Linked DNA regions of Canis lupus familiaris. The protein of the gene in region 1 interacts with the protein of each later gene in a pairwise test. Links are inferred from orthologs where the notes say so. Each region holds a gene or a part of one and is shown in the gene's direction. Other genes may lie near its edges. The genes, in order: USH1C and USH1G.

Region 1 (16,531 bases):
GGGGGATGGACGTGCCCCGCGCTACCCTCCCTTTTCTAGCCCGGCCTCAGGGCTGTGGATGGACTGGGACCCCTGTGGGTGGTTTGGTTTCCAGCAGGGATCCCCAGTAAAATAAGGGAGGGGGCAGGAGGACTCCAGGTGTAGGAACCCGTGAACCGATCTCCAAAAAGTATTCTTTCTCCTTGCGCTTCCGAGGGCTGGGGCTTCTCTGGTGTTGGAATTCCTTCCAGCTTGGCCTGAGACAGGAAGCTTCTCTGAAATGCCCCGTAGTGGGCAAATCCCAGCTCCTAGTGCCCCAAGCTCAGGGCTGTTGGAGCATATGCAGAGGATATGGGACAGTGTCTGAGAGGTGGGGATTGGTCGGAAGGGAAAGTGGTCCTCTGTCTCTGTCCTTTGACCTCAGAAAACGAGCTAGAAGCACTTTAGGGAGCCCCCTCCCCATTTCAGGGCATTTCTTAGGGCCTGAGAAGCAGGTGAGGAACTGGTGCTGACCAGGGGGCAGTGGGAGGAAAGAAGGAAGTACAGAGAGTCAGCCAGAGTCTTCAGACAGAGAGCTACAGCTCCCCTGGTGTGTCCCAATAGGAGACCTCAGGGATGGTCCAGGATTCTCAGAGGCTCTCACTGAAAGCTACTGGATTTCACCCAGGGCATTTCCAGAACTGTTTCCAGAGCTGTGCAGGAGCTACTGAGGCCCTGAAGTGAGAGAGGACCACTGGCAGTAACCCCAGTGGACCTCCCCACCAGGACTCAGAATGCTTCAGAGCTCAAGGGTGAAGCCAGGGGTGTCTAGAGCTACCCACAGGCCCTACCTGAGACGACTGTGTGCCCTGAGGCCCTCACAGAGCCCAGAGGGGCAGTGTCTTTAGACCAAGCCAAACCTCTTCTGAGGCCTGAGGAAGCCGAGCTCTGGTAGGCAAGGTCCGGGTGCTTAACCCTTCTCTCCCCACAGAGAGAGGCCCAGGGGAGCCAGAGTAGCCAGCCAATGTGTGGGCCACGGGAGCTAAGTGCCAGGGGGCAGTCATTCATCTAGTAAGTGTATTTTGAGTACCCACTCTGTGCCAGACCTCCTCTGTGCCCTGGAATTGCTGGCTGCACAGGTGAGAGAGGGACCCTACGCTATGGCTGGGTGCTGAGTGTGGGGGTCGAGGTTTGGTGGAGTACAAAAGGGGAAGCTCTACTGCCATGAGTCTCCTAAAAAAAGAGGCCTTGGGGATTTCTAAGAGTGAGAGATGGCTGGAAGTTCAGCAGGAGTTTGGGGACTGGCAAGTAGCAACCGGAGCACGAGACAGGGTTCACCTGTGCATCCTGTTGCACAGGGACACGAGAAGAGAAATTTCAGCTGCTGAGGACATTTGGTGAGTGTAGGTTTCAGGCAACCCACTTTGAAGGAACCCAACCTCTGTCCCCTCCCCCAAGACTCAGGCTTGAATTTCAGTTTCCTGCCCCTGGGCAGAAAGAAGGTAACATCAGGTCCTCATTGGTTTTTTCCCTATGGGTACTAGTCTTTGCCCCTTTTTGGAGAATTACCCCTGGGGTCCGTGGTGTCTGACTGCACCCTGAGGTTAGCCTCTGTTTTTCTTCTCCAGGCCCTGCAGCCTCCAGCGGGCCTCAGGCCTCTGTATTTCCACTGCTCTGCTCTTCCTCATCACAGGAGTCATTACCTATTAATGTCCCTGTGTGTGCAGGCGGGGCAGACACCAGGCTGGGCAAGGCCCTGGGCTGGACTTTGTGCCCTGCTGCTTCCGAGACAGCAGCAGCCTTCCCCTCCCAGGTTGGAGATCACCTAGGAACTGGGGAGAGAGGACAAAGCGGCAGAGGCTACAGCTGGGGGCACGTAGCCATGCTGGGCGAAATTTACTGCTCCTGCCCATTGCTCTCTAGCTGTCCCTCCTTTGGTGTTGCAGAGCACATTTACCCCTTGGGAATGGCTTATGACCTAAATCTTTAGTTGTTGGAGGTAGCATGAAAAGTGGCATATTGTCATGGAATGTGCTGTGTGGCCTCGAGCAAGTTATTAACCTCTCTGTGCCTCTTTGATTTGTTAAATGAGGATAATAATAATATTTAGCTCATAAAGCCCTTGTGAGTGTTGGAGGAGATCTACATGCACGTAGGGAGTTTAGTGAGTCCTCAACGAATGTCTGCTGTTGTTATTATCTGATGTTAGGCAGAACGGGGTCCAATCTCAACCCTGCCACTCACTGCCAGTGAGACCTTGGGCAAGTCATTTAATCTGGGCTATCGTTTCCTCAGCTGTGAGATGAGGTTCACAGTGCTTACCTCAGGGGGTGATTAGGACTAAGTAGGAATTCAAGGACCAGCTACTCAGGACCTATAAGTAACCCTTTGGTCCACAGCCACCTGGAGATTCCTGCTGAGCACCCTGGTGGATGTGCCAGCAGGCTCCAGGCTGGGGAGGAGAGTCTGTTCCTCTGGGCTTATGCAGTTTCCCCAGGACATCCGGCAGCACTTTCATGCCCTTCCCAGCAACAGCCTTGGGCCAGGATACCAAGGAGAAGGAAGGGCAGCATCAGAGACTAAGGCTCTTCCCTAAAGAACCAGCTTTTCAAAAGAAGGAGGCTGCCCCTCTGCTCACTGCACCTGCAGGTTTCAGGAATTTGGTTACTCATTTGCCCAAAAGGGCTTTATTGCCTAGTTAGCAATCATGCATTTATGGATATCCGTGGTTTACCCTGCCCGAGGCCAGCCAGGCACCTGGGGGTAGAAAGAGGGGATAAATGAGGAGGTCAGAAAGAGCCTCTGCCTTCCAGTGTTTTGCTAATCATACATGCATGCATGTCATAAACGTTGACTGAGCTCCTAATATTATGCCCAGCAGTACTCTAATCATTGAACAATAAAACAGAGTCCCTGGCTCCTTAGTCAGGAAGACAGACAGTTAACAAGTAACCCAATGCAAGTATCATATAATGCAAAGTAGTGATAAATGCTATGAAAAAAAATAAACTGAGATGAGAGGATAGAGAGCAACCAGATGCGTCAGAAAGGTCTCCTTGAATCTAGAAAGAAGTAAGGAAGGAGCCTTGGGGGTGTATTTGAAAGAACATTCCAAGAAGAGGGAACAATAACCTGAGGCAAGTGTCTGCTTGCTGGCTTTAGGAACAGCAGGTGGGATGGTGTTTCTGAGAGGAATTATGGATTGAATAGAGTGTGGTGGGGGCTCAGTAGGCCACGGTCAGGACTTTGGGTTTTGTTCTCCAGCGATGGGAAGGCAGCCATGAGGGGATGGCTTTCCGTTTAAAAGGGGTTGTTCTGAGTGCTGGTAGAGAGGAGACTGAGGGGGCCGGGAGCAGAAGGGGGATAGGAGACAGGAGGTGAGGGCTTGGACTAGCATGAGGAGTGGTGAGACCCAGAAAATTCAGGAGAAGATAGATCTGACAGGCTCTGACGGTGGGTGGCTCTGGGTGTGGAGAGAGGCATTGAGAGGGAGTCTACATTTTGGGAGGAGCGTGCTGATGGGGACAAGAGGGGAGATAGCAGAAACCAAGAGTTCCATTTTGAATGTTTTGAGATGCCTGGTCAACCATTGAGCCAGTAGCTATGGGAGTCTGAAGATGGCGGGAAGAAGTCTATCCTGGAGCCTCAGTGCATCCTTGAAGGATAAGTGATCGTTCAAACCCTGGAGACCAATGAGGTCACTTAGGGACATGATGCAAATGAAGAGAAGGCCCAGGACAGAGCCAGGGCACTCCAACCTTTCGAGGAGAGGAAATGGGGAAGGAACAGCAAATGAGATAGGAGAAGCAGAGAAGGAGGGCATGGTGAGCCATGCTGAGCACTGAGTCAAGTGCCACCAGCTAGCTAGCAGGACACAAGTGTCTTAAAAAGATGAAGAATAATAAAACAGGAAAAGAGCAAACCCAGTACTACCCAGGATGCATGCTCTGAAGGCCTGAGAGGAAGTGTGGCTGGATCCATTCATCCCATCCCATCAACATTTTTGGAGGGCCCACAGTCTGCCAGCTGCTGAGAACATAGAGTCTGTATTCATTTATTCCCACTTAGTTTTATTTGACAAACACTGAGAACTACTATTTGCCAGGCACTGTGTCAAGCACTTAATGATTATTAATTTAAATAATAATAAAAAAACCCCAGTGATTAATCCCTCACAGAAGGATGAAATCCTATGGAGGAGGTATGTTTATACCCATTTTACAGATGAGGAGAATGGAGCACAGAGAAGTACAGACCCAGGTGAGGAAGGGGCTTGTTGGCCTCACCCTGTGCACTCTTCCCGGGCCTGTGTCTGGGCCACACACAGATTAGCAGGGAGACGAGAGGGTAAAGAGAGGTGGAGAAGGCTGCAGAGTGGGTCTGGGGGCACCGAGGAAGAGATGCAGCGTACATTTCAGAACCCTTGAGATCTGAGAGCCCTGGGCACCGTCTGAAGTCCTTTGTCTATATTCACTTATTTAATCCCCACAACAGCCTGAGGAGGGCAGATGTTCATCGAGTGGAACAACATGCATTATTTAATTTGTTCTTGCTCTCTTTCTCGCTCTTTGGCTGGGTGCACACGTGGAGTTGTATTTGCATGAGCTGAATGTTGTTTGCTCCCCCTGTGCAGCTGTCCTGAAGGGGTCAGTCCATAGGGAGGAATGCCAGGGAATGAGGCTGGAAAGGGCCCAAGGCTCAACCCAGAGTTTTTGCCTCAAGGGCCCCAGACAAGGACCCTGAATCCCAATCCCCCTCATACAGACCGGTAGTAGAGGGCCAGTTGAGCATCAGCCCGAGAATGCTGATGCAGGTTGGAGGGGACCTGACACAAGGTGGGCGGGGAAGGAGGGATTGAGTGGTAAAATCTTTGCAGATCGTGGGCTCCTTTAGAGTTTCTTTGCCCCTACCAAGAGCGATCCAAGAAAAGGAATAGCTTTTCTTTTTAAGATTTTATTTATTTATTTCAGAGAGAGCATGCTTGAGAGAGCACAAGAGACAGAGCACAAACTGGGGCTGGGGTGGGGGGGTGGGTAGATGACTGGGGGCTCAATCTCAGGACCCTGGGATCATGACCTGAGCCAAAGGCAGATGCTTAACTGACTGAGCCACCCAGACACCCTGAAAAGGAAAAGCTTTTTAAATCGAATTACAAAAAGAAGATACAGTGTTTTGCACACAGTAGGTGCTCAGTAAATACGTATTAGACAAGTGCATCCAAAAATTCTATCTGCTAAGTGGATACTATGTGGTGGTTAGGAAAAAGGCAAAGGTTTTGGTGTATTAGACAAATGCATACAAAAATCTCTATCTGGATAGAACCAAGTAGATACTCTGTGTGCCTTAGAAAAAAGGCAAAGGTTTTGGAGGCAGCGGTCTTAAGTTGGAGTCTCAGCTCTGTTGCTTTTTCGACCCTTATTTCCTCATCTATCAGATGGGGATGATAATATCCACACACGTCAGAGGTTTGTTCTAAGGTTAAAGATAATTCACGTAAAGCTCCTCAGACACGGTTGGCAGTCAGCAAGCAATAGGACCTGAACGAGCCGACAAGGAGCAGTGCAAGGACTGGCTTCAGGGAGCCCCTGCTCTAGGGCACTTTGTGCCATTCTCTTGCTACCTGGCGCTCAGGGAGGGCCCCTGGCATGCTGTAGTCTGCGGCAGCAGCAGCCCGCAGAGGCGCACAGTGCCCAGTGGTGCCTGCTGAGTGATGAACGCACTCCAGTTGCTCTAGTCTAGAGCCTTCCTTTTATCCTCTTAGCTCAGCCCTGGGTCACCACCTTCCCATCACTCCTCAGCACACATCTGCCACAGCCCTTCTGGATCTGTCCCTCTTAGCTCACTTCCATCTTGTCACAAAAGAGTGGGTCATAGACTCATGCGAGACTGCCCTGCCTCCTCGCACCTGAAGGCTGCCTTCATTTAAGGGGAGTCCAAGCCCACTCTTATAGAGTATTTCCTGACCATGCATAGCTCAGAGCCTCCTCACCCGCCTCCCAGCCTGAGGCCCTTCTTGCCCTCTTACTCAGTCTTAGGCTAAAGAGAGAGAGCCAAGGATATGATGTATAGAGATTCACGCTGCACTGTCCCAGGGAGTGGAATTTGGGGCTCCTCTACCCACCAGGTCCCTTGGGATTGAAGTGCTAATGAAACAGCTCCTGACCTTGACCTTGGAGTCCCAGCCATTGACGTCAGCAAACCTGAAATGATGTAACTTGACTCTCCCCTTGGGGGGGAAGCGGGGGACAGAAGGGACCTGGAGAGGTGAAGGAGTGGTCAGGAGGCTGACTAGTGGACAGAAGTCGGGGCCAACCCAGCTTAGGCCAGGACAGGATGGGGTGGAGTTGCCCCTGGCATTGGTGATACAGGAGGACAGTAGGGTGCTTCCAGAGGGTGGGATGTGCTATCTGAGCGAGTGGCCCAAATCCTTTCTGAAAGCGGTTATCCGGCACTATAGCCACCATCAGGTAAGACGATGGGCTCCTTCCAGACCGGGTTGCTGACACTGGCATTGCCACTCGGGACTGTGCTGTCAAGTGGAGGGTCATGCGTGTGCATCTGACTATGCATCCACCCGGGGGAGAGGTTCAGCCTGGCCACATCTGGATGTGCACAAGTACTCTGGTGGCATCAGGGTGATCTGCATGTGGCTGATGTGTTACTGTCAGAGGACCCTGACTGCCCTCCTCTCGCAGCCCCAGCCCTGTGGACATGCTGAGGAATGGCAGTGGCCTACCCCTCCCCTGGCATCTGCTATGGACGTGCTGGGCCTGGGGTTAGAATTCTCCCCTTGGGTTTTCCAGGTGGATTTTCTGATTGAAAATGATGCAGAGAAGGACTATCTGTATGACGTGCTGCGGATGTATCACCAGTAAGTGTGCGGGGTCCAGCTCCTGTGGACCAGCCGGGTACCTCTGCCTCCGGGAAACTCTGGGCTGGATGTTCTGAGATGGAAGGACCTCTCCCTCCCATCCTGGGGGCTCTGGGAGAGGGGCAGACGCTCAATGCTCCTGGGAATCACATGGACATGCCACGCACTTGCCTTAGCAAATACGTACACAAATACTCAGTGCGGAGCCATTGAAGGGTTTAGAGGAGGGGAGTGACATACATTTAGAAAATATCAGACAGGCATGAGCAGGCCGGCTGACAGCTGGAGAAGTGCAGGCCGAATATGCTGAGGGTCTGAGAGGTGTGAGGAGGAGTCATGGGAGGGATACTGTGAGGGCAGCTTACCTGTAGCGCAGAAGTGGGGACCAGGGTTCGAGAGGGGTCACCAGCATCTCACACGAGTTTTCCCGGCTGGAAAGATCCTGTGCTTTAGAATTAGGCAGAGCTGAGTTTGAATCCTGACTTGAGTTCATCTGTAGACTGGGTTAACAATCCCCACCTGGCCTGTTTCCTTGTGACATTAAATGTGGAATAGTGAAGCTCTCATGAGGCCCCTAGCCCAGAATTAGGGGCTCTGGGCTTTACAGGAGCGTTCTCTCCACTTCCAAGGCCTGGACTCAATGGGTGAGGACCCAGCTGGGGACCAGTTCCTCTGGGGATCCTTGGGTGTCAGAGGCCGTGGCCATGGATGAGGCTCCCTGTGTTCCCCGTGTCTCTGCAGAACCATGGACGTGGCCGTGTTCGTGGGAGACCTGAAGCTGGTCATCAATGAGCCTAGCCGCCTGCCACTATTTGACGCCATCAGACCCCTGATCCCGCTGAAGCACCAGGTGGAGTACGACCAACTGACCCCCCGGCGCTCCAGGTACAGATGGTGCCACCAGGATAGAGGCAGGGGTGGGAGAGGTCACCGGGGAGGGACATCACTGGCTCCTCCCATGGCAGGAAGCTGAAGGAGGTGCGTCTGGACCGTCTGCACCCCGAAGGCCTGGGCCTCAGTGTTCGTGGGGGCCTCGAGTTTGGCTGCGGGCTCTTCATCTCCCACCTCATCAAAGGCGGTCAGGCTGACAGCGTTGGGCTCCAGGTGAGTGAGCAGAGTCCCGCGGAACAAGGGGTCAGGGCCTCGGCCTTGCTGCCTCCCCTCACAATGGGATCGCCTCGCCTTTCTGAGGCATTGGGGGAGGAAGAGGCCCACACATCCTGACAGATTTTCCTCAGGCCCATAGAAATCAGGCTGCGGGCAGCCGCCTGTTTTCTTCAGTCAAGCTGGGAACCTGGCTGCTGCAATCCCCCCCCCCCCTACTTCCCAAAGGAGGAGCGTAGTTACCTCCTGGCACCTGAAGCTCTGGCCGTGTAGCCTTTCACCGGAAGGGAGAAGGAAATCCCACTGTAGTGTGGTGTTTGAGAGCATAGACCCCAGAGCCAGACTGTCCTGGCTTTGCAACTCATGAGCTATGGGACTATGAAGAAATTACTTAACCCCATGCCTCAGTTTTCTCATCTATAAAATGGGGATAACAATAGCATTCCCTACCTCATCGGGTTGTCATGAGGAGACAGTGGATTCATATCCTAAAGTACTAACAAAAGTGCCCAGCACATAGTGTTCGTTAGGTAAGCAGGGAGGGAGATTTAATGAACACCTGTTTTGTGCCAGGTGACGTGCTCACAACTGGTCCTCATGATATCATCCCCATTTTCCAGAGTTAACAGACTTGAGTAAAGTCACAGCCAGGATGTGGCCGAGTCAGGACCTGAACCCAGGTCTCCAGACTGCCAGGCCCAGGGATCTGTCTTCAGCACCCCAGGGTGCCTCTCCCTCGGGGTCCCACACCTCTGTGCATGAGCAGAGATGGGCTGACCTCCAGATCTCGCTCCTGCTGGAGGAGCCCAGAGCTGGGTTTTCGTGCGTCCAGATAGAAGAGACCCTTCCAGCCCCCCCACCTCAAAGCTGCCAGCATGTTTGTTATCAGGCTGCCAAGACAGGGGCTTTGGGGGGCTCAAAGACTTACGGTACAGAAGTGGGAGCGGACAGACATTGCTTTGTTCTAAATCCCTGTCTCACGGCTCGCCAGTGGCGGCTGAAATTTCAGCCACTTCATTACTCTTCTCCTGTGGGGCACATTTTCCAGCCCAGAAACACAGCCAGAGGAAAAAAAAAAAAAAACCATAATGAGCTCCTCTCTCAGCATCGACAGAGGCCCTCTTTTTTTCCAGGGCGAGCTCTCCTACTAGGACAGGCATTTCTCAACGATGCCTATTGGGGCCATCGGGGCATTTTAATGCAACTCAGAAGTCTACCCTCCCACCTGTTTCTCAGGCTTATAAATTATCTTCTCTTTCTTGGGCTGCCGGGCTCATCTGTCCTTTGTGCCCCCGTCCCTCAGATCGTCATTTCATTGTGGCCTTTGCACAAAGGGCCTTTTGCACGGTTCTACGCTGGAGCGAGAGAGAGGAAAGCTGATACAGGTAGCCTGAGCCCCAGGGGCTGTATGGGAATCATTCTGACTGGGGTCCCAAACAGGTTCCTTTTAGGAACAACACAGGGAACCTCACTCATAGGAGCTTGGGGACAACATCCGCATCCATTCACCTGTCTGAGGTTCATGTTTCTGGGAAGATCTCATGCCTGAGATCTGCAGACAGGAGAAGATTCTGGAAGGCAGGGGAGGGACATGTTCAGACACAACCTGGCTAGACTGAAGGACCTGCTGATTTGATCTGTTTTGTCCACCTACTGGATATAGTTTAGATTTTTTTTCAAGTGTGTCTTGTCTGAAGCTTTGCCCTCTGCTCTGCACAGGGCCGCCTACACTGTACCACATGCTCTGCAGTCCCGGGCTAGAGAATGATGCTGTGTGCCTTGGTTGTCCTAGCCGTAAAATGGACAGAGTAATCTCTGCCTTTCCTGAGGGACTTGAGGTCACTTGTGACAGGTGGCAGGAATCCAGAGAGGACAGGATGTAGGGAACTGCAGCCAGGCTTGGCCAGGTGCCCTCCCTCTCTGCTTCTAGATGCCCAAGAGACAAAACTTGTTGTCTGTAGGGGAGACCTGACTTCAAATCCCGGCAACACTGTTTACCAACCGGGTGACCTCAAGCAAATGACTTTTGTTTTTGTTTTTTTTGTTTTTTTTTTTAAGATTTTATTTAGGGGCACCTGGGTGGCTCAGTGGTTGAGCGTCTGCCTGCCTTCGGCTTAGGCTGTGATCCCGGGGTCCTGGGATCGAGTCCCGCATTAGGCTCCCTGCATGGAGCCTGCTTCTCCCTCTGCCTGTGTCTCTGCCTTTTTTTTTATTCATGAAAGAGAGAGAGAGAGAGAGGCAGAGACACAGGCAGAGGGAGAAGCAGGCTCCATGCAGGGAGCCTAATGCGGGACTCGATCCCAGGACCCCGGGATCACAGCCTAAGCCGAAGGCAGGCAGACGCTCAACCACTGAGCCACCCAGGTGCCCTGAGCAAATCATTCTGTTCTCTGATTCTCAGTTTCCTCATTTGATTAACAGAAATAGAGTTGCTGTAAAATGTGGGTACAAGGAGCTAGCCTGGCCGCTCTCCTGACACGAGATGTCCCTAGAAACCTAGAGAGGTCTTTAGCAAGCCCGTCTCTCTGGTGTCTTTTTGAGTCCCTTGCCACTCTCATCAGGCCCCTAAGAGGACTGGGGTGTGTGGAGGTGTGTAAGGGAAACATTGAGGTGATAACATCGAAAAGGTGACTCTGTTGGGATGTTGAGAGGGTGGGAGTTGGCCTAGATGAACCCCTCACAGGCTGCGTGCCTGCCCAGCTCCCAGACCCCACAGAGTCAAGTTGTGTCCCCTACATGTACCAACAGGTCCCCAAAGGGACAGTACATGGGGTGTGAGTTAAGCTGCCGGTTGACTTGGCCTGGCCTCAAGCTGGAGAGGGGCACCCAGGATCCAGTCCCTGTTTTGCAGCTCAGGCTGCGTGACCTTAGATAACATCTTCTCCCTGGGCCACAGTTTCATCTGATAACTGAGGGTCCCTCTAGCCCTGCAGTTATTAAGTGAAGAGCTTCGGGACTGATCCCCAGAGCTAAGGCACCTGGAGGGACCTGCAGCAGCATCCAGCAGGGGATGAGCTCACCACAGCTCTGTATCCAGGGCTGGCCCTGCAGGCCCGTGAGCCCCTGTCTCTCCTGATCCAATGAGGCTTGATGTCCTGCAGAGAGAGCAGGAGTCTTTAGGGCTTGGACCCAACTAATGATAACAATAATGACCATTTATTGATTACTGATGGTATACCAGGTGCTGGCTGGCCTACATGTACAGGTAGGCCAGCACTTCTCGAAGCAACCAGAACATTTCCCCATTTTACAGATGAGAGGAACTGAGGTTCAGAAGGTTCAAGAGACTTGCACAAGGTCCTTTTTCCTCTTCTGGGGACAGCATCCATAGACATTCAGAATGATCCAGCATTTGACACACAGTTGTAGGCCATCCTATAGCACAGCCTTGAACAAAACTAGGCTGCTCTGAACCCCTGCTAATAGAATCATTTACCTTTAGACCAAGAAGAGTAGGAAAGCACCAAACTCTGCATGTGGCATGTGCTCAGGCCAGCTTTGAGGAGTTTGTGCTGTGACACCTACAGTTCTTTTTTTTTAAGATTATTTATTTATTTATTCAAGAGAGCAAGAGAGCATGGGGAAGGAACAGAGGGGGAGGGACAGAGTCCTCACTAGGTGCAGAGCCCGATGTGGGGCTCGATCTCATGACCCTGAGATCATGACCTGAGCTGAAACCAAGAGTCAGACACTTAACCAAGTGCACCATCAGGGTGCCCAGGTACCTAGAGTTCTTAAAAGGTCTAAAATGAAGAAACACAGCAGCAGGGGTTATGGTGGTTCCATGTGTGCTGTGTGTTTGTTGACAGGATCAAGCATGCTTTCCCTATTGAAGAGCAGGAAATCATTGTGAAAGTCTTGAAGGCACAAGCACAGAATCAGAAACCTAAATAAATAATGAAGTTTTTTTTGAGTAATAAAAAAAATAAAAAATAAATAAAAAAAGAATTGCCCAAGACCATTCAGCTAATGAGAATAGAAGCAGGGTTTTGAAGCCAGGACATCTGACACCAAAGCCTTGTGTTTATTCACTGTTCTTTGCTCGCCCAGCATGGGGGTCAGAGGCCAGGGCTGTGGCTGAGTTAAAATGTCCACTGAGCTTCCACAGGGTGGGAAGAAAGAAACTGCATGTGTGTCAGTGATGCGAACTTGAATCAGGAATCATAGAAGTTCCCCGCCCTGACTCACTTACGGCGTTACAGTGATTAACAAAGACTGGGGAGCTTGCTCCTTGGGGCGGGGTGGGGCAAAGGCCAAGGAAGAGCTGCTTGAATCTAGGTGAAGGGGTGTCCTTTGCATGGGTTCCAGATCCTGATGGTGACCCAGTGGGGCAAAAGGGGCCCTGAAGGGGCACCCGGGTGGCTCAGTGGTTGAATGTCTGCCTTTGGCTCAGGTCATGATCCCAGAGTCCTGGGATTGAGTCCCACATCGGGCTCCCCACAGGGAGCCTGCTTCTCCCTCTGCCTGTCTCTCTCTCTCTCTCTCTCTCTCTGTCTCTCATGAATAAATAAATAAAATCTTTAAAAAGGGGGGCACTGAAATGAGGGCACAGAGTCCCGAGTTCTAGTTCCATTCTGCTGCCCACTCTCTGTGCCTTTCACCTCCCGTGTTGGTGCTCCCATCTGCAAAATGGGTCAGAAAGACTGCTTGGAAGTGTCACTACCATGGGATCCTTTAGACTAATGGAGAGTGCGTTGGTTATAACAAAGTACTAGGGTCCATGCCAAGGTTTCTTCTGAGGGAAGGTGTGGTCAGCGTCCCTCTTCCCGGAGAGCAGGCCCAGAGCATCTGGGGCAAGCCTGCCCAGCTGCCTGAGGCCCCCTCAACCTGGTGCCCATTCCCTCCGTCTGTGGCCAAGGTAGGGGATGAGATCGTGCGCATCAACGGATATTCCATCTCCTCCTGCACCCACGAGGAGGTCATCAACCTTATCAGGACCAAGAAGACTGTGTCCATCAAAGTGAGACGTGAGTGAGGCCAGAGGGCAGGGGGCACTCGAGGGGGGCATGGCTAGGGTGGGGTAGGCAGCGGGGTCCCTGGCTCCTGGGGGAGGAAGGGAGGGCATAGGAGCCGTGCTAACTGCCTTGCCTTTCTCCCACAGACATTGGCCTGATTCCTGTGAAGAGGTGAGCAGGACCCTCCTCTGCGATTCTTCCCTGTGGGCGCAGGGTCCTGGGATTGGCTGTGGGGTCCGGCGTCAGCCCGGCCAGCACTGCTTCTGGGCCAGAGGTGGCTGGAGGCTCCAGACGGGCAGATCTGGATTTGGAGCCTGGCTCCTCACACATCTCTCTCTAATGACTGCTCTTCTATTTCCCCTTCCCACCAGCTCTCCTGACGAACCCCTCAAATGGCAGTACGTGGATCAGTTTGTGTCAGAATCCGAGGTAAGGGTCAGGGCCACCTGTGCTGGGGTTTGGATGGGGTTGTCTTCAGGGAAGGGCAGCTAGTCCCAAAGGGAGGGTTGCCCCAGAGATGTGCATTCAGGAGCTTCAGACAGGCTCCGAGGGCATCCAGAAGGTCCCTGAGGGTGCTGGGCCCTCAGCCAGGTCCAGCTGGTGCAGACATACCCCCCAGGGATATATCAGTGAGCAGTCTCATGTGGGGATAGCGGTGCTTGCTCTAAAGGGCTTTGTGAAATCAAGAGCCTCTTGGACACCCAGTGACCCTTATCTCATACTTCCTCCAGGGTGGGCGGAGTACCCTGAGCTTCCCCGGCAGTCGGGAAAACAAGGAGAAGAAGGTCTTCATCAGCCTTGTGGGATCCCGGGGCCTTGGCTGCAGGTAGGTGGCAGGCCTTCCCTGAGGGTCACTCATGACTGAGAGACCCCAGTACACCCCTAAGCCCCTCCCCCTCTCTCACTGCTGCTTCTGAAGAGATGACACTTCTCGGCGCCTGATTTCTGAGCCTCACAACAGCCTTCCAAGGCCAGAGGGACAGTTTTAACAGGCCCATTTTACAGATGACGAAGCTGAAGCCCAAAAGCAGACCCACATTCCTTTGGTGGGCTTCAGTCACTGCAAAAGGAGCCTGTCCGAGTGATGATCTCTGTTACGGTTCCCTGGTCATTTATTACCTTGTGGGCTTCCTTCAGTAGCAGCCAGGGAATTGCAAACAGGCATCAGGCCACGTGGGGTGGCCTTATTAAGCACACAGGTGCCACAGTTATAGATGCAGTTTCCAGCCCCTGCTCTGGCACCTATGAGCTCTAGAACCTTGGACTAGTCGCTTAGCCACTCTGAGCCTAGGATCCCCACAAAACTAGTTGTTGTGAGGACGGAGGAGATCACAGAAGTACCAGCTTCGTGCCTAGTAGGTAGTGAGCAGCTGTTAAACGTCAGCTGTTATTAAGTTTTTCAAATTATTCCCATCCACTCACATTTATTTAACACTTTTCTGCCAAGCATAAGTGGTATAAAGTCCCTCCTTCCTAAGAGATTACAAGATAGAATACAGTGAATGTGGAAGCCAGCCGCTGAAGAGCTACAGCGTAGAGTGGCAAGCGCTCTGCTGGAGTTGTGTTTTGCGTCAGAGATGGCAGATAGATCTCCCGTACTGTGCTATTTCTAATCAATTAGTGGTCGCGGCCTCAAGTACTATGGTTGGCCCTTGAACAACACAAGGGTCAGGGGCGCTGACCCCCTGCATCATCCCAAATCCATGTATAAACTTCTGACTCTCCCCAAATTTCACTAATAGTGTACTGTGGACTGGAAGCCTTACTGATAACATTAACAGTTGCTTAACACATCTTTTGTGTTTTACATATTATAAAAAGAAACTGTTGTTAAGAAAATCATAAGGAAGGGGCACCTGGACGGCTCAGTCAGTTAAGCGCCTGCCTTCGGCTCAGATTGTGATCCTGGGATTCTGGGATTGAGCCCCGCATTGGGCTCCCTGCTCAGCTGGGGAGCCGGCTTCTCTTTCTCCTGCTGCCCTTCCCACTGCTTGTGCTCTTTCTCTCAAATAAATAAATAAAATCTTAAAAAAGAAAATCACGAGGAAGAGAAAATACATTTACAGTGCTATACTGTAAGAAATCCACATATAAGTGGACCCATGCAGTTCTAACCCGTGTTGTTCCAGGGTCACCTGTGCTTTGGAAAGAACTGTAAGGCTGTATCTAGATTTGATAGAAAAGAGTGCTGTGATCGATTAGTGATGCCTGCCACAGGTGTGAGAGGAGGAAATAATGGCACAAATGCCATTCTTAGTGTAGTATCTTAGGAGCGCTGAGGAGGGAGCAGCTAGCTGGGGCTTGGGAGAGACGAAGGAACTTGGTGAGAACCTTGTAGAAGAGATAGCATTTGAGTCTTAAGGAATGAATAGGGAAGTACTAGAAAGAGAGACGAAACGGCATGTGCCATATATTGGGTGAGGGATTGGATAGTGGGAATTACAAATATTTTTTTTGTGGCGGTTGCCACAGGGAAATGAGGCTGGACAGGTGAAGAATGGAGCACCACGGGTGCTGAGCCTCCTGGGTGACCTGGAGCCTCAGGGGCCAGAGCACAGGACATGCAGGCAGAGAGCACAGGACACTGACAATGAACAATGCTGCAGGGATGAGTGGAGCCTCACCTGATTTCCCATCTCTTCCACAGCATTTCCAGTGGGCCCGTCCAGAAACCCGGCATCTTTATCAGCCACGTGAAGCCTGGCTCCCTGTCTGCCGAGGTGGGGTTAGAGGTGAGTGACCCTGGCACGACCCCAGTGGGGTAAGGGGTCAGACGATGATCACACAGCGACAGGGGCACGGGCCTTCCCACACAGCCCTCTCCCAGCAGCCACTGGCTATGATTCCTACCCGCCCCCAAGGAAAGCTTCACATTTGACCTTTCTACAGTCTTCTCCAGCTCCAAAAGCCTTTTCTCCTGAGCTTGGGAATGTAGTAATAATAAAGAATTGATGTTCACTAAGTGTTTCCTGGGTCGGACATTGTTCTAAGTCTTTAAAATTTGCAAGAACTCTGAGAATTAGGTAGTGTCATTATCCTCATTTTACAGATGGAGAAACTGAGACTTGGAGAGAGTATGTGATTTTTCACATCGTGTAATAAGTGATAATAAGATCACGTAATAAGTGTGATAGGGCTGGGATTCAAACCTAGGTGGTCTGAGGCCAGAGCCAGAGCTCTTACTCTCTACTCTGGACAAGTTACCTCCTGTTGCTATGCTTCAGTTTCCTCTCCTATAAAATGGGGGCATAGCCTTCCTTCTAGGGTCATTGTGTGGATTAATTCATTAAGCTAATTAATACATATACTTCAAACAGTGCCTGGCACATAGTAGGTGATTGATGGATGTTACCTGTTATACAATTTATTATCATGGCTCAAAACAGCCTCAGCTATATGAGAAACCAAAGGGCTCCTGTGTCTACAAGCTGATTTATGACATTTTTGAAGCAAATGTCATAAATTAAGCCAAAGGAATGAACCTCTAGTAGTATAATATTTGACCACTGATAAAAGAGACATGAGGTGGATGCACCTTGAGAGGATCCAATCAGAGCTTTCTAACTGCTGTGTTCATCAGGAAGAGTTGAGGTGCAGCCACTTGAAGGCTCAACATCTGACCCTGGCCACCAGGGGAAGCCCT
Region 2 (15,478 bases), on another chromosome or scaffold:
CTCCGCCCAGCCCCCAGGTCAGCATTCCCCAGGAGCCCTCCAGTTCCATCTGCAGCCTAGATGCCAGAAGGCTGGGATTTCATTCTCTCTCTGTGCCCTGAGATGCTGTTTGCCCAGGGGCTACATCTGACTCTTTCTGAACCTGCTTCTCTCCTAGAGAGCTGTAGGATTCTCAAGTGGGCTGGGGACAAGACAGAGAAGGCCAAGAACATCCTTCTTTGGCCTTATCTTCCCCCTCAGCCTCTCCCCATCTCTCCTCTTCCACCCCCCAGTTACTCACGATGACATTGCAGAGCAGAAGAAACAGAGACATGTCCTTCAGGCACCGGCGTCTCCAGTGGCTCCTGGGGGCCAAGATGATGGCCACTGCTTCCTGAGGTCCCCCTGGGTTGGTGCCAACCAGTCTGGGCGTGGGTGGGCAGGCAGGCAAGGTGTGGAGGGCATCAATGTTGGCAAAGGTAAGGCCATGGCTGGTGCCAACCAGCCTGGGAGTGGGTGGGCAGGCCGGCAAGGTGTGGAGGGCATCCGCGTTGGCAAAGGTAAGGCCATGGCAGGACTCCTTGGGGGTGGTATCATGAGATTCAGCCCCGGGTGGTCCCCGATGGAGGCTCTCGATGATGAACACATTCTGGAAGGTGTGCTGGGCAATCATGAGCAGAGCATGGGCTAGGTTGAGCCCCCCCAGTAGGTCCCTGGGTGTGCCCACAACCACAGCCACAATAGAGTAGTAGGAGATAGCGTACTGGCCCAGGGCGGCACCCATCAGCAGCGCCACATCCAGGGTTCGAGTGGGGTTCTTATGGTGATCCATGGCCCGGCGATCAAAACGGTAGATGACTGAGCCACTCAGGCTGACCAAGGTCATGAGCCCCAGACAGATGATGTTGAAGCTGTAGTAGATGACCAGGGCCTGCTCGGGGCGGCTCCCCTCCCCACTCACTTGGACCTCGTAGATGATGAAGACAGCCAGCCCCACCACGAAGAGCATCAGGCCCAGGATCGGGCCAGCAAAAAAGGTCTCCCGGAAGAGGCTGATCTGGGATGGGGTGTGGCCGTGGCCGTGGGTGGAGGAGGCCAGCAGTCTGCCCACATTCTTCCACATGACATAGAGCATGGTGGAGGCAAAAAGGCTGTACTCGATGTTGAAGGGATACAGGTAGAAGTAGCCCTGCTGGAAAATCTGGCAGATGGCCGTGTTGCAGGAACAGTCTCCTCCAACCGAGCTGCCCGCTCGCTCCGCTGTGGAGAGAGGGGCACAGAGTGGGACTGCCCTCCACCTTCCTGGAGGCACCCCATCTGAAGGACCTCACCTCTCAACTGTGACTTTTGTTAGGGTGGAATCACTGTCTGCTATGCTCACCACCGTATCCCGCAGTGCTCGCACAGGGCCCGGCTGGCTCACTCAATCCCCAGGGATTTACTGAGCACCCACTGTGCGCCAGAGACCGGGGCACATCAGTAAACAGTAGTCAGTGCTCAATAAACAAAAGCCTGAACCGCACATTCTGGCCGCTTCATCCCATTCCGTTCCTTCAGGCAGACATTTCCAATCCTTCCCAACCAGTAACCATCCCTGGATCCCCAAAATAGGTGAGGTTCTGGTCTCGATAGATGGTGGTCCTCCTGGGAACCCTGGAAATTCCAGCTTCCTCGCAGCTCTCCCCAGCATCTGACTCAGCCCAGAAGGTGAGCTGCTTGGCCCACGTGTGACCTCCCGTCATTTTGGTTTGTGGCACACCTGTAGCAATCTTGTCCTGTGACCCGAGTGCACTTTATAGAATGTCTTGGATCTTGGCAAACATCTCTTTTGATCCCCAGAACTATTCCCACTGGTTTTGCAGATGTGGAAACTGAGGCTCACTGACGTAAAGTGGCTTGTAATGGCAGAGCTATTGACCTGGCTCCCAACCCCAGGGCAAGTACCTTCCCAGTATCCCATATTAAATTGGCCACCACTCTGGGTTGTTTTTTTGGTTTTGTTTTGTTTGAGAGAGAGAGAGAGCGAGAGCAGAGACAGCATATGTATATGCAGAGGGAGCAGCAGAGGGAGAGAGAGAGAGAGAGAGAATCTCAAGCAGGCTCCATGCCCAGCCAGCACAGAGCCCAACTTGGGGCTTGATCTCATGACCCTGAAATCATGACCTGAGCCAAAATTAAGAGTTGGGGGCAGCCTGGGTGGCGCAGCAGTTTAGCACCACCTTCAGCCCAGGGTGTGATCCTGGAGACCCAGGATCGAGTCCCACGTCTGGCTCCTTGCATGGAGCCTGCTTCTCCCTCTGCCTGTGTCTGTGCCTCTCTCTCTCTCTGTCTCTCATGAATAAATAAATAAAATCTTAAAAAAACAAAAACAAAATTAAGAGTTGGATGTTTAACTGACTGAGCCACCCAGGTGCCCCCTCCAGGTTGGTTTTTAACCATCATCAGGAGCCCTCTGTATGTGCAAGGTGACCCTTTATCAGTCCTGCTAGACTGATCCATTCTTGCCATTCCTGGACACTTCCACACTGAGTATGTGTGTGTCTTTGGACAAAATCCATATGTACATAATCATCTAGTCTGGACCTGGTTAGTGGGGTGGGGCGGGGGAGCTACCAAAGTCCAGAGAACTGGCCCAGGGAGCCTGTGGACTCTATTCTTCAGTGTAGCTCTGTGAATATTGCAAATTATTTCACCTTTTAGGCCTCAGTTTCTGTATCTGTAAAATGGAGATATTAATAGTACTCATTTTGGGACTCAGTTGGTTAAGCCTCAGACTCTTGATTTCGGCTCAGGTCATGATCTCAGGGTCATGAGATTGAGTCTTGTGCCAGGCTCTATGCTCAGTGCCGAGTCTGCTTAAGATTCTCTCTCTCCCTCTTCCTCTGCCCCTCCCCTGTCCCCACTCTTACACACACATTCTCTCTCTCTCTCTCTCTCTCTCTCTCTCACTGAAAAAGAAAAAAAAGTATCCATCTCATTGGGAAGTTGTGAGGGTTAAGTAAGTAGAGTGTTTAGGACACTCAGCACAGCACCTGACATACAGAGCTCAGAAAAGTGTCACTATTATCATTGTGATTATTATTTCTACCTTCTCCTTCCCAGACTCTGTCCCATGCTTCCACCATTGAGCCACTCTACCTGCTTCCCTTTCCTTCCCTCCACTTTGATCACCCTCGCCCTTTCATCCTGGAGCTCAAATCCCTTCTTTGGTGGGATGGAGTCCTGAACAGTGGGGCCAAGGCTACATCCTCTGGAAAGAGGATATGCCCCCTGGCACCCTCCTTCTGGTGTGACCTACTCTGTCTTCAGAGACAGAGTCTGGAGCAGGAGGCTCTCCTTTCTTGTGAGGGCAAGGGAGACAAGCACCCCGCCTAAGGCCTGGAAGTCCTGGGACCAGGTTTAATCTGAACTGGACACTCACGGTCAGGAGCGAGGCGAAGGTGGCTGGTGTTGCTGTGGGAACTATCATAGGAGTGGGTCTGGTGCACGGACTCGTCCACCACGGCTGCCATCCAGATGGCCAGGTTGGTGGTGAGGGTGAACATGAGACCACACCTGTTTGGGGAGAGGAAGCAAAGAGGCCAGTGAGTGTCTGGCCTATTGTGGGTCCCTGGGGAGATGGATAGCTGGGGAGCTATACTGGGAGATGATGTGGAGAGGCAAGAAAGCAGTCAGGCCCCCTGTGTAAGCAGAGAGGCTGAGTTTGGAAGGAACACTTAGTCTGGCCAGAATGCCACCCAAGAGAGGGCCAGGGGGGTGTCCAGGGGCTCAGGCCACTACTGCTCCCTCTCCTACAGGAAAGCACATATAGGGCAGCCTGGGTGGCTCAGTGGTTTAGTGCCTGCCTTCAGCCCAGGGTGTGATCCTGGAGACCCGGGATTGAGTCCCACGTTGGGCTCCCTGCATGGAGCCTGCTTCTCTCTCTGTGTCTCTGCCTCTCTCTCTCTCTGTGTCTCTCATGAATAAATAAATAAATAAATCTTAAAAAAAAAAAAGAAAGAAAGCACGTACAGTGCACTATATAACCCATCCCACCAAAACACATAGGTATGAGTGTGTCGGCACACACGTACACACAACACAGCATAGAGTGGTGGAATCAGGCTGACAGAGCCAAGGGGCCTTGGCTGAAACCCCACCCAGGGTACAGAAAGAAGCCCCAGGCTAGGTTGGAAAGCCCTCATTGCTCATGCTCCGTGGGCATGGATGTTGAGCACTCACCGGGTCAGATCCAGATGGACGTGAATACAGTCTTTAGCGGAGACCCAGAGAAAGTAAGTCTGTGTTGAGAGAGAGTGGGGGAGGTCATTCACTCTGCAGATGGGCCAGACTCTGGAGTGCCCATGTCCAAACCCCACAGTACATTCCTTCTACCTCAAGAGCCTTACCAACCTACCACATTTCTCTTAGCTTTACAAAATGAGTCAGGAGCTTTCTCTCTCCATGAAACAATTTGTATAAAATAGTTCTCTTCTTTCAGAGTTTGCAAAATGTTACGTGTAAACTCTTGATGCTTTTCTGTTGTGGTTGCTGTTCTTTTTTTTTCCCCCAGGTAGAAATTTGACTGTCTAGTTACTTATTCCTAGGAGTGAGGCCAGCCTGAGTCTTGTCCAAGGAAGAGAGAATCTCTGGTGGCTTCTCACCTCCCTTTGGCAATATCCCCTGCCCCATCCCCATCCTTTGTTGCCTTGCAACCTTCACCTGGTTGCCAACAAATCCTTGTCATGGTATTTGGTGATGTAAAGGGGTCTGTATTTTCATTTCACCTGAGTATTCTTCAAACCCGTAAAATGTAAAAAAAGTAAAGCTCTCATAAGTACCAAAGTCACGAATGTGTTGAATTATGGAAATCCACACATTGGGGGTGATGTTTCAGGAGAGGGAACCCTATGTGTGGTCATTCTGGTCATGGTGGAGGGCTGAGATCTGTTCTGGTTCCATGTAAGACCAGTCCTGCCTCAGCTCAATCAGAAGATCTTTCAGAGTGTTATGTTTGCAACAAATAAAAATAAATATACTTGAACTTGTTTGAAAAAAATCCCAGGTACAGGACACCCTATTTCCTGAACAAATATAGAACATATGGATAATAGCTGAAGCCTAACCAGCCATGCTCACAGCAGGACCCTGGGCTGAAAGTGATGCCTTCTACAGGCACTCAGGGAGGGCAAGCCAGGTTCTAGGAGGCATGGCAGCTGCCACAACTCAGACATCCTAGATGTTGATACTGGCACTGCTTTGGTCGAAATGAAATCACGGGACCCCTAAGTAGGAGCTCACATTTGGATATTAATTCATTACCAAGGGACAGCCCTGGTGGCGTAGCAGTTTAGCGCCGCCTGCAGCCTGGGTTTGTGATCCGGAGACCCAGGATCGAGTCCCACATTGGGCTTCCTGCATGGAGCCTGCTTCTCCCTCTGCCTGTGTCTCTGCCTCTCTCTTCGCTCTCTCTGAATGAATAAATAAATAAATCTTAAAAAAAAAATTCATTACCAAGTGCTTTCCGATTTATGGATTCAGGTGATCCATGCTACTGTCTTATCCCCATGTTACTTGATTGCTCAAGGTAGAAGAGTGGAGATCTCCTGACCTCATGTCAGGTGTTGGCTCCTTTCCACCACACTCAAGAACGCTCCTTCCACCCACCTGGACGATGACAAACACAGCTTGGGTGAGAGGATGCAGAATCTTGATGGCCGATTGGCACTCAAAGAAACTGGAGTAGTAGCCAGTCTTGAAGACATCCATGACAAGAGTGCAGATCCCAAACAGCACCAGCCCACCTGGGAACAAGGGGTGGAGGATGGGTCAGAGAGGATGGTTTATAGATCTGAGAATGGATGGCTAGATGGGTGGTTGGTTGGATGGTTGGTTGGATGGAGAGATGAATAAGATTGATGGGAGGATCAATGGATAGACGAATGGGGTGGTTGAGAGGATGGATAAATGGCTGGCTGGCTGGCTGGCTATATGAATGGATTGATGGATGGATGGACAGATGGGTGTATAGTTGGATGATGGATGGATGGATAGTGGATGGGTGAATGGATGGATTGAAAGATGAATGGGTGGGTGGAGAATGAGTATAGGACTGAGAGGGTGGATGGATGGACGGACATCCTATTGAGCCCCTATGTCTTTGGGGCGGCATAGATTGGCAGGAGAAGGGCCCTAGGTGGGTTCTTTCAGCTGCAGCGGTCATCTGTTCTGCTCTCCATCAAAGGCTCTCCCGTGACCATCCCTTTTCAATCTTTAGGAAAGGCAAAGAAGTCCTCCATCCCTCACTTCATTCTTCTCCCAAGACTGTTTCTCTTCCTCTTCTCTTTCAACTGCAGCCGGTCTCATCTTCAGCCACATCTGCCTCCCCCCACCCCCACCCCCACCCCCACCCCCAATTTCTCAGCTCCCTACCGTGAGGCGCACTCCACAGTTCCTCTGAGGGTCGCAGCCTCTGGCTCCTCGCCTGCCCCCCACTCCCCCCCACCACCTCCCCGGGCACCTCGGAGCCAGATGGGGCCGGCGTGCGCGTCCCGGTAGGGGACGGCGTCGGGGCAGCGCACGGTCCGGAAGAGGTAGAAGAGGATCCAGAGGGAGGCGAGCAGCATCATGGTGGTGAGCAGCGCGAACACGTCGGTGTCATACACCGCTACCTTGTTGAAGGCGCCGCCACTGACGAGCGTGCAGGCGAGCAGCAGCACGTTCACGGCCAGCAGCACGGACAGCAGGCGGCCGCCCTTCTTCCACACCTCGCGGGAGCCTGCCCGCGGCGCTGGCGGGCTCTCCTCGGGGCCCGGGGCCGAGTCCTCCGACATGGGGGCGACCGGGGGAGGTGGGAGGGTCACTGCGGGGAGGAGCGGACAGCACCAGGTCAACCCGAGCGCTCTCCTTCGGCCGTCTTGTCTTATCCATCCCTAGGTTTAGGGACGGAGAAGCTCCTCACCCCGAGGGTGGGGGCTGCGGTGGTGGAGGATGCGCTGGGGAGACGCAAGGGAGAAGCGGACCCTTGGGGCCTCTCCCTCGACGACGGAGCGCAGGAGAGGCGGCGGCAGCCCCGTCGGGCCCCGTCCCACGTCCCCGCTCCCCAGGCCGTGGGCCGTGTGGCCCGGGCACCCACCTGGCTGGTCCGGGAGCCCGCGCTGAGCCGGGGGTCAGGGGGCGGCGAGCGTCTCCTCTGCCCCACACCGGGCTGTACGGGCGCTTTATACTGGGGAGGGCAGGGTGATTTACAGCCGCGGGAGCTCAGCTCCATAAATCTCTCAGTCCCACTCACATGATCCATCTTTTCTCCGAGCTGAATTTAGGGAAGAGAGCGCGGGAGCCAGATAAGGTAAGATTTATATTTACCCGTGAAGAGGCGCCCCCTCCCCCGCCGTCCCGTCACCTCGGGCGCGGCCCCGCACTGCGGCACCCAGAGGGCACCCCGCCCCTGGCGCCCACCGCGCCCTCGCGCCCCGCGGTGCCCGCGGTCCCCGCCGTCCAGAGCCGCGAGCGCTGATGCTCAGCAGACCCCCAAGGGCCCGCAGGGACTCCGACGCCCTCCAGGCCCAGCGCACCCTCCACCTTTGTGCTCCTCTGGGACCCCAGTGCCCCTTTCCCCGACACCCTCCCAGGGGTCGAAGTTCCTCGTTCCCGATCCCTCCCCGCAGGGGGCTCCGCGGCGAAGGCGGGCTCCGGGAGCAAGCGCAGTCCTCCAGCGCCCCCTGCTGGAGCGCGGCCCCCCGACCCCGCGCGGCCGAGGCTCCTGGAGCCAGGCCTTCGGGTGCTGGTCGCTGTCTGGGCGCAGTCCTCCTCCCCGTCCCGGGCCCGCTGTCCTAGGATCCAGACTGCCCGCAGACACCGCTGCCCAGTCCTTGGCCCCTTCCTTCGACGGGTGGAGACATCGGGAGCCGGAGAGCCGGGGCTCCAGTGAGGACAGACCTCAGCCCGTCCCCAGGCTGGACCTCATGGGACGGGGCGCTGGGGTGACCGCTTTTGGGGCGAGGGCAGGGTGTCGCGTAGGTCGCCCCGGGGCGCTCGGGAGCAGGGTGTTTAGGACCCAGGGGCAGCCCGGGGGCGGCTCCCTTGGCGGCGGGAGATCCTACCCCCCCCTCCCTCCCGGGGTGCGCGGCTCAGATGTCCGCGGAGGCTCTGGCGCTCCGCAACCTCCGTGTGCGGCAGCGGGGGCTGGCGGCCTCGGGCCCTGCTCGGCCCCCTCCTCCAGCCCCATGCCTCAGCCCTAACCCCGCCGCCCTCCCCCGCGGGGGGCCTTTCCCCGTGCCCCCTGCCCACCCCGTCCGAGTCAGGCGCCATGAACGACCAGTACCACCGGGCGGCCCGGGACGGCTACCTGGAGCTCCTCAAAGAGGCCACCAGGAAGGAGCTGAACGCCCCCGACGAGGACGGCATGACTCCCACCCTCTGGGCTGCCTACCACGGCAACCTGGAGTCGCTGCGGCTCATCGTGAGCCGGGGGTGAGTACCCGCCCTGTCCCTGCCCGAGCCCCCCAGTCGAAGGGGAAGAGAGTCTTCAGGCCCCTCCAGTCCCCTGAGACACACTCCCCAAGACTCCAAGTTATCTTCCGCCTCCCTCCTCTGAGCGCCTGTCTTCTCTACCCCAACTAAGGTGGGACCCCGGAGCCTGGCAGCTGTGGGAGGGCCGCACAACCCGAGGCTTGTGACACTTGTGACCTGGATGAGGGGCTAGGAGGGGAGGGACTGGGATTTGGGGTCCATGATTGTGGGAGGGGCTGCAGAGTGAGGGGGAGGTGGGATCGGTCTCCTGGGTGGGTGTCACCAGGAAGCAATAGTGGGGATGGAAGAGAAGGGGGAGAAGTGGTGCAAAGTGAAGCTCCTTAGGGCCCTCTCCCAGCCCGGGGCCAGAGGGCTCTCCCAGCCAGTGCTGCACCTCCCTGTTCAGCTCTCTCCTGGCTCATTCTTGGGATTTATGGGCACCGGCTCCAGCACCAAATGTCAGTGGGTGCAGCCACCTCATTAACTCCCTCTCTGCCCCTCCCCCATAATGGGCTCCCTCTCCTGCCCTTAGGAGTTGTCTGGGAGGAGGAGTGGGCATAGAGTCCATGCGTCAGGGCCAGGGAAGGGGTGTGAAGGTAGCAATGGAGGAATTCAGGATCCAGGCCCACTGATGTAGGTTCTTGGGGCTGAATGACACTGTGGACAGCTTCCCCAGCCTCCACAGTTTCCTACAGAGAGGTCACCTGGTTGAACTGGACACCTGGGCAGCCTGGACAGGGAAAAGGAGTGGAAAGCATGCCCCCAGGAGGACATGCCCCAGGAGGGTTCATATGAACGTCTTAGGCCCTGGGAAATCACAGTGGACGGCAAGGGGCCCAGCTGGCCCTGGTGCCAAATGCTGGCTTAAGCCCTGAACATGTGGTGGTGGGGAACCCCCTTGTCCTCCCTCTGAGGCTCTCCTCAGGCCTGCGGCAGGTGGGAGCAGGCCCTAAGACCAGGGTGCTGAGCCATGTTCCAAGAAGCCAAGACTGGCCCTTCCCGCACCAAGAGATCACACAGCGGTCCTGCCATCCTGCCTCCCATCAGAGAGGTCCACGGAAAAGGGTGGCTTCCCAGTGCACCAAACCCCCCAACTCCTACAGAGAGCAAGGCTTGATGTTGAAAGGGGGGTGGGCCAGATGCCAAGCAGCTCCTCTCCACATTGTCCTGCAGGACTTGGCGACCAGTAGGGGAAATGAGGAGGGGGTTGTGGGGAAAGCTGTTGAGACAAGGGAATGATTCTTCCTCCAGCCCTGCGGGGTGGCCTCAGGGCCTCATTAGTGTGAGGCAGAGGTGCTGAGCCAGGCCCCTGTGGGAGGGGAGAGCTTGGAGGAGCTGCCGGGCTCCCAAGGGGCACAATCGGGTGTGGAGGATGTGGGAAGATGCTGGGTGGGTCCCCTCGGCAGGCACAAGCCAGCCTGCCTGTAAGGCTCCCAATGACAGGGCAGCCCCAGGAAGGGAGGGCTCTTGGGCCCAGGTTGCACACTTGCCTCCTCCTCCGCTTTGGTGCTGGCTGCCCCCACACTCCCCTCCCAGCCCAGGCCAAGACCCGACACCTGCTCTCACACGCAGCCTTGCCAGGCCTGGCCCCGCTCCCTGCAGACATGGCCGTGCCCGCTGACACACTGGCACGCACCCTCACACACCTTCCCCCCCGGGGCTCAGGCTCAGCACCCACCAGTCTCCTGTGTCCTTTTTTAAGGTCACCCCTGCACCCTCAGCCACACTCACCACCGCGCCTGCCTAGAGACCCAGACACAGCCCTGGCCCACCACCTCTCTGGGCCAGCTCCCCGCTGGGCTCCATGAATAATTCACTCCTTTCTCTCTGGGCATCAAATATTTATCCCCTGAGATTCCCAGCCATCAGTTCTCTTGGGGAAGGCCCCGCCCCGGCCCCGCCTTTCCTGCTGCCCCACCCCCTGCGGGCCTGGGGCCATTTCTGCTCCACCCCCACCCCACCCCCACCCCCATCTCCACCTCCACCCCCACCTCCACCTCCACCTCCACCCCCACCTCCATTTCCACCTCCACCTCCACCCCCACCTCCACCTCCACCTCCACCTCCACCCCCACCTCCATTTCCACCTCCACCTCCACCCCCACCTCCACCTCCACCCCCACCCCCACCTCCACCTCCACCCCCACCCCCACCTCCACCTCCACCCCCACCCCCACCCCCACCTCCACCCTCACCCCCACCTCCACCCTCACCCCCACCTCCACCTCCACCTCCACCCCTTCTCCCCCGGCTCTCCCTAGGTAGGTCTGGCATCTCCAGGAGTCAGAGGAGACATCTCGGGGCCTTCGGGTCCTGCCGGTGCGCCCCCGGGGGTCGCCCAACCGGGCCTGGAGCTCCCCGCGTCTGCAGCCAGGGCCGACGGCCGTGGGTTCATCACCCCTCCTTGCGTGTCCTCCCTGCAGGGGTGACCCAGACAAGTGTGACATCTGGGGCAACACGCCCCTGCACCTGGCAGCTTCCAACGGCCACCTGCACTGCCTGTCCTTCCTGGTGTCCTTCGGGGCCAACATCTGGTGCCTGGACAACGACTACCACACGCCGCTGGACATGGCCGCGATGAAGGGCCACATGGAGTGCGTGCGCTACCTGGACTCCATCGCCGCCAAGCAGAGCAGCTTCAACCCCAAGCTGGTGGGCAAGCTGAAGGACAAGGCCTTCCGCGAGGCCGAGCGGCGCATCCGCGAGTGCGCCAAGATGCAGCGCAAGCACCACGAGCGCATGGAGCGGCGCTACCGCCGCGAGCGGGCCGAGCGCTCCGACGCGCTCAGCTTCTCCAGCCTCACGTCCAGCACCCTGAGCCGCCGGCTGCAGCACCTGGCGCTGGGCAGCCAGCTGCCCTACTCGCAGGCCACGCTGCACGGCACGGCCAGGGGCAAGGGCAAGATCCAGCGGAAGCTGGAGCGGCGCAAGCAGGGCGGCGAGGGCACCTTCAAGATCTCCGAGGACGGCCGCAAGAGCGTGCGCTCGCTCTCGGGCCTGCAGCTGGGCAGCGACGTGATGTTCGTGCGCCAGGGCACCTACGCCAACCCCAAGGAGTGGGGCCGCTCCCCGCTCCGGGACATGTTCCTCTCGGATGAGGACAGCGTCTCCCGTGCCACGCTGGCGGCCGAGCCTGCCCACTCGGAGGTCAGCACCGACTCAGGCCACGACTCCCTGTTTACCCGCCCGGGCCTGGGCACCATGGTGTTCCGCAGGAACTACCTGAGCAGCGGGCTGCACGGGCTGGGCCGCGAGGACGCCGAGGGCGCCCCGCGAGGCCGGCTGCAGAGCTCCCCCAGCCTGGACGACGACAGCCTGGGCAGTGCCAACAGCCTGCAGGACCGCAGCTGCGGGGAGGAGCTGCCCTGGGACGAGCTGGACTTGGGCCTGGATGAGGACCTGGAGCCCGAGACCAGCCCCCTGGAGACCTTCCTGGCCTCCCTGCACATGGAGGACTTCACCTCCCTCTTACGGCAGGAGAAGATCGACCTGGAGGCCCTGATGCTGTGCTCCGACCTTGACCTCCGCAGCATCAGCGTCCCCCTGGGGCCCCGCAAGAAGATTCTGGGGGCCGTGAGGAGGAGGAGGCAGGCGCTGGAGCGCCCACCAGCCCTGGAGGACACGGAGTTGTGAGTGCCCTGAGCCTTGGGTGGATGGGAAGATGGGGGCCTTAGGGCCTTAGGGGGCCCCAGGGGAAGATCTGCCTTTTCAGGAGTGTGTGTGTGTGTGTGTGTGTGGGGTGTAATATCGTATTTAGTAAAACTTAGTCCCCACCAATTACAAGAGGCCTCACTTAATTTGTTCATCCCCAACTCTGAAAAAGAGGCTGCCAATTTAAGGAGGACAAGAGGCCTTCTTATCACAGCAAATGTAAAATGTAAAATGTAAAACACCTCCGTTTAGATCTCAAAATGCCCCCAAATGAGTGTGAATGCGATACAGTAGTCAGAGTAATCACAGCCAGGACGTTTTGGGCCCTCCCACCTACTGGGTGCCAGAGATGCCCCTGCACATGTCCTCTTACTGAGTCCCTCCCAGCTCCCATGTGCAGGGACTGTATCATCCCCATTTTCCAGGAGAACAATTGGAGCCTCAGAAGTTTGCAGTAGCTCATCCTAAGGTCCTGCTGCTGCTTGGTGCAGAGCTTGGGCTTGATCCCCGGTCTGTGTGGCTCTAGAGCCTGGTGACTCCCATGGGAGGAGAGTTGTCAGGTTCAAAAGCTGTCAGGGGAGCTCAAGTCTGCTAACACTGGTGGCCTGGCCCTGGGCGGACCCCTTTCTCATGGCATCCCACAAGCCCAGCACATGACGTTGCCTCCTTTTGGTGTCAGTGGCTTTTACCCTGCATGGCTGGGCAGGAGTGGGTGTGAGGAAGCAGTCTGGTTTACAGTTCATTGGATGGGGATGGCCAGTGTCCCCATCCCTGACCATTAGCCTGTCAGGAGAGGGTTAGTTGTCCAAATGGTTCATCTTGTCTTAAAATGATGTCTTGAAGGCCCTTACCTGAAGTCCGTTTCTGTGTCTTTCTCTACAGATAACAGAGGGCTCCTCTCTCCAAACCAAAATGAATTGCATGTTGCCACAACCCACCGTGGGACCATGAGGTCCTCACAGTTGCCAGCCCTGAAGCCCCCCGGCCCCTCCCCAGGAGCAAAGACCATGTGGATCATCTTTGAAAGCCTGTCCACACTCCACATGCAGGTGTAGCCTGGAGGTACCAGCAAGGGGTCCTGAAGCCCTTGAGCCACACCCATCCGAATGCCCCTAAAGGACATGTGGATTCTTGGGACACCAGCCCCAGAGGAAGGGCAGGGAACCCCTGGGGCCCCAGGGAATAGATGACATGCCCATTAGAGCTGAATGGGAGTGTGGGGGGTGGGCATGGCCTGTTCCAAGGGCCATTGTCTCTCCCCACACTCTCCTCCAAGCATCCTGTTGTTGTGCTCAGGCTGGAGACTTGCTCATATCCTACATATTTGTGAAGGGAAGAGTTTGGGCTGCCTCCCCTCCCCCCATACACCTTAGAGAGGAGGTTCCTAGCTAGACTCTTCAGCCAAATGCTCTGACTGTAGGTAGTCCCCACCCCCATCCCAAGCACAGCCAGCCCCCATCCCCGTGTCCTTCCCCTACTGGACATGCTGGGGAGTTGGGGTGCCAGGCCGGGGTGAGGGGGCGGTGAATGGCCCCCTTACCAGTTCACCTTGTGGCAGGGCCCAGCCTGACTCTGCTCTCCTCACTCTGCCCTCGTCCACCCTGCCTCCACCCTGGTCCCTCCATGGACCCCAGAGGGTCAGGGCAATAGATGTAAGGTGCTAGAGCAATGAGCTGCAGTATTAGGGCCCTTGGCCTGGTGGGCGTGCTCTGGGGTAGAGAAAAGGCAGCTGCCAACTGCCTCAGTGGCTGCCAGCCCAGAGACAGGCGGAGACTGGGCATGGCTGGGTGTCTAGCCTCTTCTGGGCCAGTCCTGTGATATGGACAGTGGAAGAGCCTGAGGATGTCGATTATCTAAGCTCCCCGGGTCTCTGTGCATGTTTGTGTGTTGAGGGCTGCTGGATGGATTTGCCTCCGGGTCTGGAGGCAGAGGGGCAGCTGCATGGTTCTGCGTGGGTAGTTGGTCATTGAGAGCTCAGCATGTGTCCCTGCTCTGTGATGACACCAGTGAGACCAGGAGAAAGGCCAGCCCCAGGTGGTCCTCAGACATGTGTCCTCAGTTTTCCAGTTGGACTGAGGTCACAGATGTGGGGGAGAGACTCAGGGGCCCCCTTACATGTGTGGGCACACACACCCTCCTCCTCTGTCAGCAATGAGCCTCCATCCCTGACCCTCAGCTTGGGAAGCAGCTCCCATGGGAGCACTGCCACAGCCCCCACCTCTTTCCTGGACCCCCTTGGCCGGGTCAGGAGACAAGAAAACCCCCAGAGAATGCCACAGGCCTCCATCTGGCGTGTCTGTGTGTGCGTCCAGAGCGGGGGCCACAGTGGAGGTGGTTTCTGTTTCCACACTGCAGGCTTGGCTGCCTGCCACTGCCACCCTGAGCCCACCCCAGTCCTTTTCCCTGTTCTCTGGGCCTGGGCCTGGGGCCACCCCCAAGTGCCGACTCGACTCTCTCAGAGCCCAGGTGCTGCCCTTTCTCTTCTGTTCTCTGTCTGTGTCCTGCCTCAGCCTCCTCCCCATTCTCCCAGTGCCGGAGTGGGGCAGGCTCTGGGATTCCCACTGCTGTACGAAGTACACCTCCCACAGGCTCATTATAACTTTTGTAGAAAATGTTCTGTATCACAGTCGCGCCTGCGTCTCATCCTTTAATCACTTGAGGGTGGAAGAGGGAGAAGGTCTTTCTGTACCTAAAAGGACTTGGTCCTCGTGGCCCCCCTGGAGGGGGTCACGGGACGGATGGGTGAGCATTCCGTCCTTGTGTATCCCTGCATAGCCTTCCCTCATCCCTGGGCCTTCATCCTGCTCTCTCTGGGCCCAGAATTTGGAGCTGATGGAGAGAGAATGTCCAAAAGAACCGGGGAAGGAGAGCCAGAAGCTGAGTGAGGAGGATGGTCCAGGCCCCAGCCCTGTCCCCAGATCCTGCAGCTGCTGAGGGCACGAGGACACTTTCTCCCTTCCCAGCAGGGCCCGCCTGGCCTTCTCCAGATGGGCAGACGCTGTACCTAAGGAGGCTGCCACCCACCTCCCAGGCCCCATAAGCCCTCATCTCAAGGCCTCCTGCCCACCCTGGGAGGCCATAAATGTGGTCCCCATTTCCCTCACCAGCCTGGGCAGCTCTTGGGGCAGCCCTGTTTAGAACCCCCTTCCTCCCCAGGGGGTAAGGCTTCCCCTTGAGCTGGAAGACAGTGGCCTCTGTTTGCTCAGTCAAGTCCCGAAAGGGCCCCCTGAGTCATTTTATTTCATTCCCTAAGGATTCTGGGTCAAGTGCTTCTGCCAAAGGGAGTGCAAGGCAGCTCCCTCCCTCCAGCATCCAACAGAAAGGTCCAGAGGATATCCCAGGGGGAAGGTTGCTTAGC

The links.
Region 2: the proteins of USH1C (region 1) and USH1G interact in binary tests that used the Homo sapiens proteins (3 or more experiments, as listed by UniProt). The link is inferred for Canis lupus familiaris from reciprocal best matches to the Homo sapiens genes USH1C and USH1G.

The regions. Positions count from the first base shown.
Region 1 is NC_049242.1:40,747,892-40,764,422, reverse strand, and holds part of USH1C (harmonin), read left to right. Parts: intron 1-6,761; coding exon 6,762-6,829; intron 6,830-7,570; coding exon 7,571-7,714; intron 7,715-7,794; coding exon 7,795-7,933; intron 7,934-12,791; coding exon 12,792-12,900; intron 12,901-13,034; coding exon 13,035-13,059; intron 13,060-13,259; coding exon 13,260-13,317; intron 13,318-13,619; coding exon 13,620-13,714; intron 13,715-15,535; coding exon 15,536-15,620; intron 15,621-16,531. UniProt on the Homo sapiens protein: Anchoring/scaffolding protein that is a part of the functional network formed by USH1C, USH1G, CDH23 and MYO7A that mediates mechanotransduction in cochlear hair cells. Required for normal development and maintenance of cochlear hair cell bundles.
Region 2 is NC_049230.1:6,400,742-6,416,219, forward strand, and holds the start of USH1G (Usher syndrome type-1G protein), read left to right. Parts: upstream 1-8,105; 5' UTR 8,106-8,266; coding exon 8,267-8,430; intron 8,431-10,892; coding exon 10,893-12,098; coding exon of another isoform or gene 12,099-12,102; intron 12,103-13,002; coding exon 13,003-13,006; 3' UTR 13,007-15,478. Other genes in the region: proton channel OTOP2, read right to left, coding at 281-1,239, 3,401-3,534, 4,201-4,259, 5,626-5,762, 6,479-6,791. UniProt on the Homo sapiens protein: Plays a role in pre-mRNA splicing by regulating the release and transfer of U4/U6.U5 tri-small nuclear ribonucleoprotein (tri-snRNP) complexes from their assembly site in Cajal bodies to nuclear speckles, thereby contributing to the assembly of the pre-catalytic spliceosome on target pre-mRNAs.